Notamacropus eugenii: one gene and its partner. The protein of the gene in region 1 purifies or fractionates together with the protein of each later gene. This does not show direct contact. Links are inferred from orthologs where the notes say so. Each region holds a gene or a part of one and is shown on either strand. Other genes may lie near its edges.

Region 1 (7,796 bases):
TAATCACTAATAATTATCATTATCTGGAAGGCATTTTTTTTTTTAACATTTCAAGGTATTTTTAAAAATCCAGAATCCAAAAAGTTTAAGTTTGGGAAAGGTGGGGGTTCATTTCAATTTTGATATTTCCCATAGAACAGCAGGTTTAAATTCATTGTATAAACTTCCAAATATGACAGGTTAAATTAAATTAAAATTAAAACAATGAAGTGGGTGGTCAATAGCTATTCAACATACATACACAGCTGCATCATTTCATTTTGTCCAAAGAGAGGTGTATAAGACCACAATGCAACAATCAATTGTGTTAGCAGTCATCACTTAGAAAGAACATAATGAGACAGAATAAAGTCCTGGCCACACATGGTCTGATATGTCTTGCGTTCAAAACCCTCCAGGACATGGTTCTAGCCTAACATTATAAACTTGTGCCACATCTTTCTCCTTGATATATAATATGTTGCAGACAGACTGAGCTAGTTGTTCCCCAAAAGCAACTTGTTGTCTCCTACATACACCCTCCTCTCCAATCATTTCCTATACAACCTCCTCTATAACCACCTTGTTAGCCATCATCACAGACTATGTCTTAGAGGAACTTCCATCCTGGGGTCTGCCTCTCCTGGAGCATTGTTACAAGGAAGCCCCATACGTGCTTTTATTTCATTCTCTTCTCTCAGACCAACTACTTTGAAATTTCTTTGCCACCCACATTAGAGACCCCTTCCTTCTCCCTCCCCCATTCTCTCACTTCTAGCTCCGGAACCATGAGCCATAATCAAATCAACTTTGCTATTATTCCGGGATAGGATATGTCAATTGACGTTTCTACATAGCCATTTACCATCCCTGTAACTTTCTGGAACAAAGTGCCTATTTTTGGCCACCACTCACCTATGTGATTCAGACTCCCTGACACGCAGCTCAGTTTTCTTTGCTATGCTGTGCTATGATTGTTTTGCTGGGAAACTTACAGATTCTTGGAAACCGGTTAACCACAAAACTGCTTTCTGGAAAAGAGTCTAGGTTGTTCGTTTGCTATTCAAGAAGTAAGTAATAACTTTGTATGTAAGAACACTGTTTTTACAAACCCATATCTTCTTCAAATTTTCCCCATTTCTGTTGAGGGTACCACCATCTTTACAATCAATCAGGTTTCTGCCTCAGAGTCATCCTTGCCTCAGCTATTGATTAGAGCTCTGGAAAATCATTTCTATCCACCTTTTCCTCTCCACTTACACAGCCAATATCCCAGTTCAAGTGTTCATCACTTCTTATTTTATGCTACAGTAGCCTCTAACAGGTCTCCCTCCTTTAATCTCTCCCTTCTTCAATTCATTTTCCACAGAGCTGCCAAAATAATCTTCCTTAATCAAAGTCTAACCATGTCAGTAGCCTAATCATAAGTGGACTCTAGTGGACTATTGACACTAAAATCAAATCCAAACTCACCATTTGGACATTTAAAATCCTTCATAACCAGGCTCCCATTTACTTCCAGTTTTACTTCAAATTACTTCATCCCTTTCCTGAATTCTATATTTCAGTCAGTCTGGCCTATTATCTGTTCCCTCTCAACTTGTGGTTCTCTCTCCTCTTGGTGCCTTTGCAGACTGTACCCCATGCCAGCACTGAACCCCTTCGTCATGTATACTTGTATAGAATCATTAGCTTTCATCAAGGCTCAGCAGTGGTTACATTTTATATAAGGGCTTACCTTGAGTCTTCCAACATTCAATGCTATGTCTCCTGAAATTACTTTTCATGTACTCATTTGTGTACATATTCTATCTGCCCAGCAGTAGAAAGTCAAGAAAACTTTCATTTTTTTCTTTGAAACTCCAAAGCCAAGTATAGTCCCTCACACATAATAGGTATTTAATAAATGTTTGTTGAATTGACATTAATCCATAGGTTCAAGTCAGGTCCCACAAGCTAAATAGAATGAAGGCAGGGTGTTGTTTTGTGTCTTTTGTTTACTAATGACCTCATGGGGTAATGTCTGTGGGTGAATTGGATTTAAGTAAGGCAGAGCTGCACAAAGTCATCAGATGCTTCTCTCTTCCAGTCATTAAAGTCCAGTGAGTAGACAAAGTCTCGACGATGGCTGATGGCTTGGGATACAGTGGATGACTTTGGCATTTGCAATGCCTGACCAAGCTCTAAGCACATCGCAGCACCTCCTTCAGCTGCCCTCACCTTCCATTGCATTGGAAAGTCTTCATTTGGAATACTTGGGATAAACATCCCCTTAAATTCACTGATGGGTTTGAAGCTTCTTGGTTCCCCTCCACCCGGTTTAACCCATCCTCTGAGATGGTTTTACCAGAGTGTGATCACTGCCCATGCTACAGCTCCTTAGAGCCACAGGTGAGAGCTGGGTGGCAGATGGACACCAAAGGTGGATGAGCAGCCCTGAAAAGGGCTCAGGAAGCCCTCATACTGGAGGTATTAGTCCTCCTTGAACACTTCATATACCCCAGGCAGGATATTAAATAACTGGTATATACAGTGACCAGTGTTCCTGCCTCCTAAAAGAGCTTTCGCTACAATAAGGTCTTCAGATCTACGGACAGAACCTTAGGCAGAAAAGGTCAGATTCCATGTTCCTCTGCATATCTGCACATCTAGGTCAAGTAAGAGCAATTTTTCATGCTCTTTTCACTAGTGCCTCTCCCATTCTCCTCACTATCAATCCCTGACCTTTGAAATTTCTATATTGAGCTCATTGTTCTTCCCAACCTCTTATGTTGCTTCCCAACCTCCAACTGTGATGTGGCAGTAAGAAATATAGCATAGTGGAAAGAAACCCCTGGATTTGGGGTGAGAAGCCCTGGGATTGAATCGCAGCTCTGTGTCTACTCCCTGTGTGACCTTAGACAAGTCTCCTTGACTTAGTTTTCCCTTATTCATTAAGTGAGGGGATAATATCCAAAGTCCTTTCTAATCCAAAATTCTATGACCTAATTGGCATTTTAGAAATTCACAAAGATCTTGTAAATGGGTTAATCTTTTTTTTTGTATGAATCATGAACTTCTTGGCAGTTTAGTGAAGCCTTCAAGACCTCTTCTCAGAATAGTGTTTTTAAATCCATAAAATACATGAGTCATCAGAAAACCAATTATATTAAAATCCAATTTTCAAAATATTAATAAAAACAATTCTACCCTTAGGTTATTAATCTCAGGTGAAGAAGCCTTTCTCTAGTAGAATATTACAAGGATTCTCAGTAGTCAAAATAGATTTGATTCTAAGTGTAATCAGGTTAAGCCCTAGTTGCAGTGTAGCAGGGTAGTGGACAACTTTAATAAAATAAATAAAACCTCCTCTGAGTCACAGGGAAATGTCTCTGCAACTCCTATTCAACAATTTAACAGATATTTACTAAGCGCAGACTCTGTGCAAGCCATAAGGTAGGTGCTTTCCTTGGAAGCTTCCTGTGGTCCTGAGAAAGAAAATTTTCCAGCCTCCTGCAGGGTTGTTGGAATTTACCACTGGCCTGATAATAGAACCCAGCTTTTCTTACCGTGGGCAGTGGAAGAGATTAAGAGATAGTCTCAATGAAAATGAATCCATTAATAACAGTTTATATTTTTATAGCTCTGCACAGTTACATAGTGCAACACTATTTCATTCGGGTTTTCCTTTCTTACTCCCCCTCCTCCATGAAACGGGGAAAATCAGATTAGCTCTGCCTGGCTAGGGTCCCCAGTAGCAAACAAGAGGACAAAGAGCTGGGAGACCACAGGTGTGACCTACAGCCAACCTTTATCAAGAAGCTACAGGGGGCTTTCCCTCCTCCTAACCCTAGACCAGAACTCCTCAGGGCTTCACTCCACAGAATGAAACTCTTATGGGGTTGTCTCCTAAATGGTATCAGGATTTTCCTTCATCCTGGAAAGGCTTCACTTATGAACATTTGCCCTACAAAGAAGCTTACACAGTCACTTCACGCTTATTCCAAGGACTGAGCTGCTTCCTTTACAATCCCTTTTCAGCCTGTACTAATGTTTGTAAAAGAGTATGTTAAAATTCAACTCAGACTTTGCTCTACCAAATATATATTTATACACATATACATATATATATGCCTATATACGTATACAAGCAAATCTATATAATAAGTATATGGGGCACCTATATGGTTACAGAAGTCAGTAAGATCTGAATTCAAATCTGGCCACAGATACTGTGACCCTGGACAAGTTACTCAACCCTATTTGCCTTAGTTCCTCATCTATAAAATGTGAACACATTAGAGAAGGAAATGGTAAAAATGACTCCAGTATCTTTGCCAAGAAAATTCCATAGACAAAGCCTGTAGGGTCAAGCGGAGTCGCACAGAACTGAGAAACTACAATATATGTATATATATCATATACAACATTCATATATCTCATATATATTATGTATATGTGTGTGTGCCTCTTCAAAAGTTTTTGAGAGCAAAGTGCTCCATTCAAAGCCTTTAGAAGGAGTTGCTTTAACCCGAATAGCTGAGGGGGTGGTTCTCTTTATTTCGGTTATTTTGGTTATTTTGTAGGTTAGCTTCTATTAACAAAGAGGAAATTCGTGGTGACACCTACTCAGGAAGTAACCCGGTATCCAGGGATTCTATTTCCCACTTGTTTGTTCCCGGAGGCACGCACTTGCTGCAGTTAGTAGACAGTCCGCCTCATACTGCAATAACACACTACAAAGGATTTTTCTCAAACCTCGGGAGTCTGGCCTTGAAATGGATTCTAAGCAGTTCCCCTAGAGGGCGCACGGCATACAGGTTTTCAGCAGGCAAGGAGACTCCGCACTCTCCCAGGCTCCATAAAAGGGGAGGAGGCGGATCAGTTTCTTTCTCTCATTGAGAAAGAACAGGATTGGAAGACGCAGCATATAAAGCCAAGCAGAAAGCGTGAAACAAAGCATTCAGATCGGAATTGGACTGGAGAGGCGAGGTTTGGAATCCGGGATATAAAACTTGTTTCAAGGGGAGGAACCCAACCTTTTCCACTCCACAACGCCTGTGCGCTTACAGGGGTTCTGGCTACCCTCTTCATTTATAATTTTTTAAATATTTTTTTAACAAAGATTTTTATACATTTTTTTCTCTTAAAAGAAGATTTCTTTTCCAAGAGAAAATAAGGCAAGATCAATGAAGGAGAGAAGAGCCAGCCAGAAATTAAACAGTAAATCTATGATGGATCCTAATCAGAACGTAAAATGCAAAATAGTGGTAGTTGGAGACAGCCAGTGTGGGAAAACGGCGCTGCTTCATGTGTTTGCTAAGGACTGCTTTCCCGAGGTACGTCCAGCTTTCCTTGCCACTGACCAAGTGGGATTCAAAGCCGCTAGAGACCAGTGGGTTTTTTTTTTTAATTTAATTGTTTTAGTGTTCTAACCTCCTTAGCCTCCCGTCTCCTTCACCCTTCCTTGTAAGATCCCTTTAAAGGGGAAAGGAATAAGGAAGAAGGCACTGGGGCTTGAAAAAGCCTGACCATTAATCTCCTTGCATTTAAAACTTGTCTTTCATCTGGAGAGAAGATGTTAGGGTTAGGCTGGTGTGAGATCGCAGTGATTTTGATGGTGGGGGCGGAGGGTCGGTCTTAGGGTTTGGGGGAGGTAGGGGATGAGAGGGAGAGATTTGGTTCCTCGTGTCTGGTGTCTGTTGGGTTGCGTGCTTTCATTTCTAAAGGGGCAGGGGGATTTTGTTGGTGCCATACCTTTTAAGATAACCTTGGTTTTTGTTGTTTCTCCCCCCTTCTTGGTCTGTTTCCCTTGTTTCCTCCGTGTATTCCTTCAGAATTACGTTCCTACAGTATTTGAAAATTACACGGCCAGTTTTGAAATTGACACACAAAGGATAGAGCTGAGCCTGTGGGACACTTCGGGTAAGAAAAGAAACCTGTGTTCACACCGGGGTTTGTCTCCTTCTCTCGGGGATTGGGGTGCTGGGGGTAGGGAGTGCTGGGTTTGAGATAGGGTAACTTCTGTGCCCTAGGCTAGAGCCGGGCCAGTGCGGTGGACCCCTGAGGTCAGCGCGCCCTCTGGCATTCCCCCTCACCCCTCCTCCGCAAGCCACAGTGCCTCCTTTAAGTTTTTCCTCCTCGAGTAATCCCCGCGTTCCGGTCGAGATGAATTCAATTCAGCAACAAATGCCTATTATTTCTTTGTGGGGAGGAAGATGCGGGGGGGATGGAGGGGAGGAAGAACCGAGACCTAAGAGCGAGCGCAGAAAACAGAAAATGGAAAGGAATGATTACGGGCTTTTAACTATCCATGAAGTGTAAGCCAGGCACTCTCGGACCCGCACATAGAAATGGGCTAAGGTCTAACGCTTGGTGATCCAGGCAGGGGCGCTTCTGCTGAGGTCGTTGTCCCTTTCCCCCACGCTCCTAAGGGTGGGTGTTGGGGGGAGGCGGGGGCGGTCGTCCTTGAACCTGGAGGGAGAGACAGCAGCGAGGTCCCCTCTGCACTATACCTAGTTATGAACCTGGGAACACCTTCTCTGTGCAACTTGATGGCTTTCTAGGAGGGTGAAAGGGAAGGGGGGGGTGGCTGTGGGAGGAGGAGGAAAATCCCCAAATAGGCGCGGTTAAGTGCGGAATCCTAACCTACCAGAAAGTAACATGAGCGCAGGCAATCTCTGGTATTCGTGACGATGACAGGAAAGTATGTGCAGGCGGTTGTACAACAGCGAGGTGCCCGGAACGGAGTCGTGGGGGGAGGGAGAGAAAACTCCGAGCTGGAGGGTTTCCCTCCTTGTAGGGGCTGCTTTGCAACATGGAATAAGGTGTAGAGCATGTCCCTCTGAACCCTAGACTGGGAAATGATACATAGTGATACAGTAATTCCTGCCAGGGCTGGGTGTGTTACCTTTACGTTCTGTTTGAATTACTGGGGTGATTCTTTTTAAAGGGGATAGTTGAGTTCAGAACCGGGCTGCTGCCTTCTCACCCCCACCCCCTTGCCATGGCTTTTAAAGTAGAGGGGTAACTATCCAAGCTTTGGGGGGCAGTTCGAGAATGAGGAGAAGCAAAAAGGATGGAAAGGACTTGGATGTTAGGGGGAGGTGTCTAATGTGTCCTTGGTGGGGGCAGTGCGGAGGTGGGGGCTGATCGGTGGCGATCTGGAGGCGGCTTAGTCTGAGACCTGTCCACTGCCACCCTACCGAGAGTTAAGGTCTCCCAGTCCCTTTGCGGAGAGAACCTTCCCCGCGCTCCTGAGGCTGGACTCGGGGTTTAAAAGAAAGCAGCGGACGCTTTGAGATGGGGAGCACCGATCTAAGTGGGATTTGGGAGGACGGGAAAGAAACGAAGCTGCCACGAGGGTCGGGCTGGGTGGGAAGCTGAAGTGAAGACTTAACTAAGAGACCAGGGCGGGCTTGTCGGATCTGCCCCTGAGGGATATTTGTCGGTGCCGCCCAGAGGAGTAGGCGGAGGAGACGGCTTCTTTCGGCTGGTAGCGGTCTAGCTCTGGCCGTGTGGTCAGCCCTGATCCTCGGTGTGAACCTGAATAGTGAGGGCAAGAAAGGGCCAGAGAAAGGGGCCAGCCGAGGCTCCCTGCAGTGATAAAGCCCGCGCATGCACAGTGGGGGACAGGAGGCGCAGTCTAGTCCCCTTCCCCTAAAAGCCTCTCTCAGCTGCAGTCCGGGCCAGACTCCGCTGTTGCTACAATCAATCCAGCCCAGATGGGCAGCTTTTCATTTTCCACTTGGAGAGCCAGGCGCTTCCCAACGCCTCACCATGTGCTGAGGGGGGCGGCAGAAGGAGGGAGGGGCTGAGACCACACTGCCTTCTTTCTC
Region 2 (7,082 bases), about 160 Mb from region 1:
TTACTAGCTCTGTGCACATCATGTAATATCAGTTTCTTAATTTGCAAAGTGGAGGTAGTAACAGTATCTTCTTCACTGGGTTATTCTTGAGTGACAAATGAGATAAGGGACCTAGATCCTTCGGGAAGCCTTTAAGCACTGCGTAAGTGCTGGCAATTTTAGGTAGTGCCTGATGTCTGCTGGAGGAACAGGAAAGGGCGAAATGATAGGAGTGATGCCTGGGTATGGAGATCAGGGCAAAGTTCACTTACAGATCCTGTAGATTTAGGGCTGGACGAAACCCTGAAGGTCATCTGAGCCACCCTGATCTGAACGCATAGAAACTGAGACCTGGAAAAATTAACTGACTTGTCTGTGAAGGCACAGCTAAGAAACTGAGGCTTGAGCCTAAGTCATCATCCTCATCATCATCATGGCCAACATTTGGATAGTTCTTCCTATGTGCCAAGTGCTTTACAAATATCTTAATAATAATATCTAGCATTTACATAGTGCTTACTGTGTTCCAAGTGCCATGCCAGGTGCTTTACAAATGTCATCTCATTTAATAATAGCATTTACGTAGCCCTTACTGTATGCCAAGCACCATGCCAAGTGTATTCCAAATAGCATCTCATTTAATAATTATAATAGCTAGCATTTATATAGTGCTTCTTTGTGCCAAGCATCATGCTAAGTGCTTTCCTAATATCCTCTTGTTTAATAATATTATTAAATATTATAATTTTTATAAATATTTAATATAAATGTAATTTTTGTAATTCTCCCCATTTTATAGATAACGAAGAGGGTAAGTGAGTTCCTCAGGGTCACACAAGCTATTAAATATCTGAGGAAGAATTTGAATTCAAGTTTTCTTGGCTCCAAGTCCCAGACTGTATCCTAGCTAAGGTCATCCTTATTCCAAGTCCAGAGCTTTTTTTCTGCCAGACTAGAGCAGGACAGAGAGCACTGATCAAGGGTATACCATGCCTTGGAATACAGAGTCTCCAAACTGGAAGAGAAGTTGGGTTGGCCATCCACTCCAGCCCATATTGGTAAAGGAAGTGCTTTTACTGGGGGACATGGTAATCTAGTCTCCATGGTAGCCCTCCAGTGGAGGGTGAGGGGCCCTACCCCCGCAAGTCAGCCCCTTCTCTTTCTGACTAGTGGTAGTTATTTGGAAATTTTTTTCTTGACGTTAATTGCCTCTTGTGCTTTTCTATCGTTTGCTTTTAATTTCACCTCCAGGGCTGAGCAGAAGAAAACGAATCCTTCCACCCGATACCTCATATACTTGAAGGCAGCTTTGGGGTCCTCCGTTTGTCTTCCCTTCTCCAGCCTAAAACTCCTCCTAGGTCTCATGTGGCATGATCTTCAGACCCTTGACCATCTTGGTGGACCTTTGTGCAATGAGAAATGCATATTAATATGACTTTTAAAAATATTCTTATTTTGAAGTCTAGAAAATTCCATTCTCCATAGCATGTAGAGAGGCATCAGACAATACTTGGGTTGAAATCTCAGATTATAATCGTACTTCCTAGATGTGTGATCTTGGGCAAATCACTTCACTTTTCTGACTCAGTTTTCTCATCTGTAAAATGGGGATAATTCAACTTATGTACCTATTTCCAAACCCACAGGCATTCATTAAGCACTCACTACATGTTGGACACAGTGCTCAGAACCGGGATTGCAAAGACAAATATGCTGGTCCCTGCTCTCAAATAACTGACATTCTACTGGGGAAAGGAGATATAATACATACGTGTGTGTGTATGTGTTTGTGTGTGTACAGGTAAACGTAGGGACAGCTAGGTGGCACAATGGATAGAGTGCCTGAAGTTTGAACTCTTCCTGAGTTCAAATCTAACCTCAGGCACTTACTAGCTGTGTGACCCTGGGTAAGTCACTTCACCCTGTTTGCCTCAGTCTCCTCATCTGTAAAAAGAAATGGCAAACCACTACAGTATCTTTGCCAAGAAAATCCCAAATGAGGTCACAAAGAGTTGGATATGACTGAAAATGACTGAACAACAACAATCTATATATGATTTGACAGGCAGTGTACCACAGTGGGCAGAGACTTGTGGTCAGAACCAGGAAGACCTGAGTTCAAGTCTTGCCTCTTACACATACTGCCTTTTGTGATCCTTGACAAGTCACTTAAATCTTTGGTCACTCTCTAAGACTATTAGTTGCTTAAATGGTTCTGACTTGTCTTGGTAGAGGAACTTCCCTGATCTAGCAGTTTCCTATGTCAGTGAAAGCCCAGGTGCAGCCCCTATCCTATATACATCTGACACCTCCAGTTCAAAAGTCAGGCCAGCTGTATGTGAAGCCAGGTTAGTAGGGACAGGGGATATTTGTGGGAGTCTGAGGCTATGAAAAAGAGGGTCCTAGTCTGCCAAATCAGGTATCCTTGGGCATTCAAGTAAAGCCAGAAGAGAAGGTCTGTCATGGATTGGGGGCAATGACACAAGAGACACAGAGATAGTGGAAGGAGAGGGAGACAGATCGACAGAATGAAGAAGAAATGGCTCCTGGGTCATGGAATCATAGACCAATGACCTGAGGCTTCCCGGAGATTGGTGGAGTGTGGGTGGGAGTCAGCAGACAACAGACCAAAATAGTTTACCTGAGAGCCTTGCACCTAATCCCAGTGCTTTAATGGTCAGGGATTTCAGCTTTATCTCCCTTTTGGATAAGAGGATAAGGACTAAGGTGGAGACTGACCTAGGAGATCTCTGCTGGCACCCAACTGCATTCCTATTTCTCTTAAAAAAAAATACACACACACATATCTGTATATATATACATACACACACACAGAGATATATATATATATCTGGATATATACACATATATAATATATACGCATGTATATATTAATGATCTTAAGAAACCCCACAAACCTATCACTTGCCAGGGATTTTCCCACCTAAAGAACCCTCTGGTATAACAGAATATAATGAAGCAAACCAAAACAACAGGTTAGCTGAGTCGGATAACTAAATACCTCACTCTGCTCCTGTAGTCCACCACCTCTCTGGCCAGAGGTGCTAGGCTCAGGGTCCAAGTCCTCTGAAGTCCTGACTGTCCACTTCACTGGTTGATCAGACTTCTGGTGTCTTTAAATCTGATCGATTTTCCTTTATGTTACTATGTATAAATAACATCCTATAAATTGTTCATCCTATAAAGAGCTCACCTGGGTACTGTATCAAGTTATGCAAGTCTTCCCAAGTTTCTCTGAATTCTGCATATTTGTCATTGTTTGGAGTTGATAGCATCCCGTTCCACTCACATTCCATTCCATACCACAATTTATTCAACTACTTCTCCAACTGATTGGCACCAACTCTGCTACCATAAAAAGTGCTGCTATAAATATTTATATGTAGTTGTGTACTCCAGCCTCTTAGGGATGAGAGGAGACCCCAGAAAGCCGATTTCCTGCTGCCTCTTGGCGGCCGGTGACCTGGGACTCCTCACACTGCTCCTGCCCCCCCCCACCTCATTTCCATCTCCACCAACAGTTTGGCCACAGGTTAAGGGGAGGGACATTTTGTGAGAAGGAAGCTGATCATTCTGTAATATGGATGTTGATAAGGGCCGACCATACAGGGTCTTCAGCTTCCCAAGGAGACCGCCCCCATCTCCCCAGTAGCACCCTAGGGTTCAGCCTGGACATTTCTGCGGAGTGTGTGTGAGATTGGTAGCGCTCATAGGCTAATAATCCCACCCTCGATCTCCTTTTCCCCCTCCACTGAACGTGGGGGCCCAGCTCAAGGGGCAGACTCCGGCCTTGGCTGGGTGCCATTGGTGGCAGCTCTCGATCTGAGACCTGGGCTCCCATCCATCTTTGCACTGTTATTTTAAACTCCAGCTGCTCCCCTCGGGTGCCGCGTGGGGAGGAGGAGTTAACCTGGCGTCGCGAGCCTGTTTTCCCCCTCAACTCAGTGCCAGGGATAGGGTCAAAAGAAAAAAAAGCAGGGAGTGTTTTGGGAGCACACAGGGAGAGTTTCCAGGGCGCGGCCAGAGTGCGGTTAGAAAGGAGTTATTTATAGCCAGGGAGCGGAAATCTGGAGGGTCCGGGAGCAGGGTAGGGAGTGAACGAGGGAGCGAGTCGGAGCAACCGTCGGGGGCATTCTGTGGGCTCCCAGGGGTCCCGCAGGCTGCTGGAGAGCGGGGCGGAGACAGAGCCCTGCGCCCACCCACCTGCGCGCTCTCCAGCTGTGCAGCGCAGCCCTACTCAGCCTTGTGTTTGCGGTCCAAGCTCCCACCTGCCCCCTCCCCAGCGGCGATCCGGAGACAACTAGCTTCCAGCCTTAGTGAAAGGCATTCCTGGACCGCTCTCCAGCCCTCCCCTTTGCCCAAAGCATTTCCCTGAGTTTGAGGGAGGGTAGAGGGGAAGGGGGAGGAGTCACGCCCTAGAGGTTGTCCCAGTATTCATCCTCGAGCTTGAAGGCTGCTCCGCATCCCGCTGGCGACCGCCATATGTGGCTCTCTGCCTTCAGGACGCCCCTTCAGATGACAGCCTCAGCCCCAGTCCCTTCCCCACGCGGAAGAGCGCTGCAGAGCCGGCCGCAGGGGCTGCCTGCAACCCAAGGGGGCTGCCCGAGTCCTCTGGCCGGGATCCCCGAGGGCTGTGGAAGATCGCGCCCGTGCCCCTGCCCACTCCTTCCTTTCCTGGCTGCTGCCCCGCGAGGCCCGGGCCCAGCCTTGTTCTGTCCACGCCCTGCACCCTTAGTAAGTAGTACATTCCTCCTTCACTCCCATGCCCCGCAGGTGGTAGATCCCGACAGCGCTACCGTAATTACCGGGCTTGGCCTGGCGGCGAGGTGGCTCCCCCGGGGGAACCTGGCTCCTCCTCTTCCCCCTCTTCTCCTCCTCCCCATCCTGGGGCTGCCACAGTGCTGAGTCTCAGCTCCAGCCTAGGGCGACCAGCTGGCCCCTCTGATACCTAGGAGGGAGGCTGGGAGAGGCTCCCACCGTCACGCACATCGCTGAGCTTGAACCTTGGACTGGAAACTGGGGGTGAGTAAGGGGTGGAAGGGAGACGCCAGGTAAAAGAGGAGGAGGCGAGCCCGGGAGGGGAGCGTGGGAGGTGATCGACTGAAAACTGAAACGTCTCCGCACCCCGCCGCGCTTTTCCCTTGGAGTGCTAGAGGGGACGGCGTGGTCTTTACTGTTCTGGGGGCCTCGGGTTCCTAGTTAAGGTAGGGACCGTGGCGGTGGCCAGTGAAACGATTGACACTTACGCAGGCACTGGCCTGGGTATCAGTTTATCCCTCTTGTCAGTGGGCACAAAACTCATCTCCTCCAAACGAGGCTCCCAGAGGCGCTTCGGCTTCGCGGACACTGACTTTCCCTAGGGACCTTTCCTCTCTTTCGGCTGATAAGCTTTTTAGGGGTCTCAGCTCGGAGTTGCGGGCTGTTTTTTCTGGTCCAATAGTAACCCGAAGGTCCACGCAGAACCAGTAGGGGAAACCCGAGGAAGTCACTACTGGGAAAGGAGGGTGTATGGTCTCAAGAAGACCCCTCTGGGGCCGGTGAAAATCGAGAAAGATGAAGAAGCAGTGAAGAGGGGGTGGAAAGACCTCAGGTTTCATCCTCTGACCCAAGTCACAACCCCTAAGAGCTTCGGCTTCACCTGTTTTGTCATTGTGACCCGTCCACCAGAATCTCCAGTATTGACATAATGCTTTCCATAAGTTTTCTCATTTGATCCTCTCAACAACACGGGAGAGAGAGGTGCTATTTTTATCCCTATTTTACGTAAGGGGAAACTGAGGTTGAGATCGAATAAATAAGTAGCTCAGGGTCACCGAGCTGTTAAGTGGCTGAGGTCACATTTGAATTCAGTTCCTTCTCTAAGAACAGTATTCTCTCCATGATACTACCTAGCTGTCAGTCACCTTGCCAGTTTGGTCGGAGGACTTCAGTCTGCAAAACTGAGATACTTTATTTTTAATGCCTAAGCCACAGAGCTATTGTGAAGGAAGTAAACTTCAAATTAGACTTCAGGAGGAGTTTTTGTGCCTGTTACAGAGAGGAGGAAACTGAGATTCAGTCATGGACCAGTCACTTTCTTAAATGTGAGCTGTCACTATAGGGACCAGATCTGGAGGCAGGCAGTCCAATACAATCCAGTCTGGGGATTCAGAGACAAAAGTTGTACACTCTGTTCCTAAGGGATTTACATTCTTCTGGGGGTGTGGTGGATTATTTGACCCAGAACTGGAAAGGACCTTAAGGGTCATCTTGACCAACCCTCTCTCCTCCTTATTCTTCCTCCCTCCCTCCCTCCATCTCTTCCTTCCTTAATTTCCTTTTCTTTCTTTCTCCTTCCTTCCTTCCTTCCTTCCTTCCTTCCTTCCTTCCTTCCTTCCTTCCTTCCTTCCTTCCTTCCTTCCTTCCTTCCCCCACAAAAATTCAATGACTTGCCCCAGATCACATAGGTAGGAGGAAGCAGACGTGGTATTTGATATTCCCAGACTAGGTGCCATTGTCCAGCTTTTTGGTCGTGCCTTCTCCTATTGTACTTTACAAACGCACACAGCTTACTCCACAGGTTTCCAGCTAAATGTCCTCCTTCCTGAGAGATTCATTCCCTATTTTACTCCTACCCCAACCCTATCCCCAGGGGATTGCACAGCAAATCATACTTTCCCCCTGTAATCAGAGCTCCAGAGTTCAAATCCTACTTCTTCCCCTTGTTATGGGGTCTTGGGTAAGTCACTTAATCTCCTTGTGCCTCAGTTTCCTTTTCTGTAGAGTGCAGAAGTTGGACCACACAACCTTGGAGTCCCCTTCCAATTCCAGATTTTTGATGAAATAGCAATGACCCCATGTCTATGGCGCTTCTCCCTATGGGTCAGTGCCAGTATTATTAGACTCATGCCCAAGTTCTCTTGGGATAGTGAGCAGGAAAGCTGGAGTACACACCTGGGCTGCTCAAATGCAAATTGAGCCTCTTTTCTGCTCCCCTCTTTGTCTTCTTCCACCCTGGGTTGGACTTGAGCGATTAAAGTTGAAAAAGTCCAAGGGATCAGCCTTCCAGCACTTACCATGTGCTCTGTCCTTGGTTCTGTGCT

Evidence for each region. Proteins that work in one complex are often made in the same cells at the same time.
Region 2: the proteins of RND3 (region 1) and PLEKHG5 purify together in Homo sapiens (affinity purification with western blotting; 3 studies listed by BioGRID and IntAct, with this or other methods). This does not show direct contact. The link is inferred for Notamacropus eugenii from reciprocal best matches to the Homo sapiens genes RND3 and PLEKHG5.

Annotation. Positions count from the first base shown.
Region 1 is NC_092876.1:207,409,770-207,417,565, reverse strand, and holds the start of RND3 (rho-related GTP-binding protein RhoE), read left to right. Parts: upstream 1-4,796; 5' UTR 4,797-5,147; coding exon 5,148-5,297; intron 5,298-5,795; coding exon 5,796-5,883; intron 5,884-7,796. UniProt on the Homo sapiens protein: Binds GTP but lacks intrinsic GTPase activity and is resistant to Rho-specific GTPase-activating proteins.
Region 2 is NC_092876.1:44,868,430-44,875,511, reverse strand, and holds the start of PLEKHG5 (pleckstrin homology domain-containing family G member 5), read left to right. Parts: upstream 1-4,079; 5' UTR 4,080-4,482; coding exon 4,483-4,734; intron 4,735-4,769; exon of another isoform or gene 4,770-5,022; intron 5,023-7,082. UniProt on the Homo sapiens protein: Functions as a guanine exchange factor (GEF) for RAB26 and thus regulates autophagy of synaptic vesicles in axon terminal of motoneurons. Involved in the control of neuronal cell differentiation.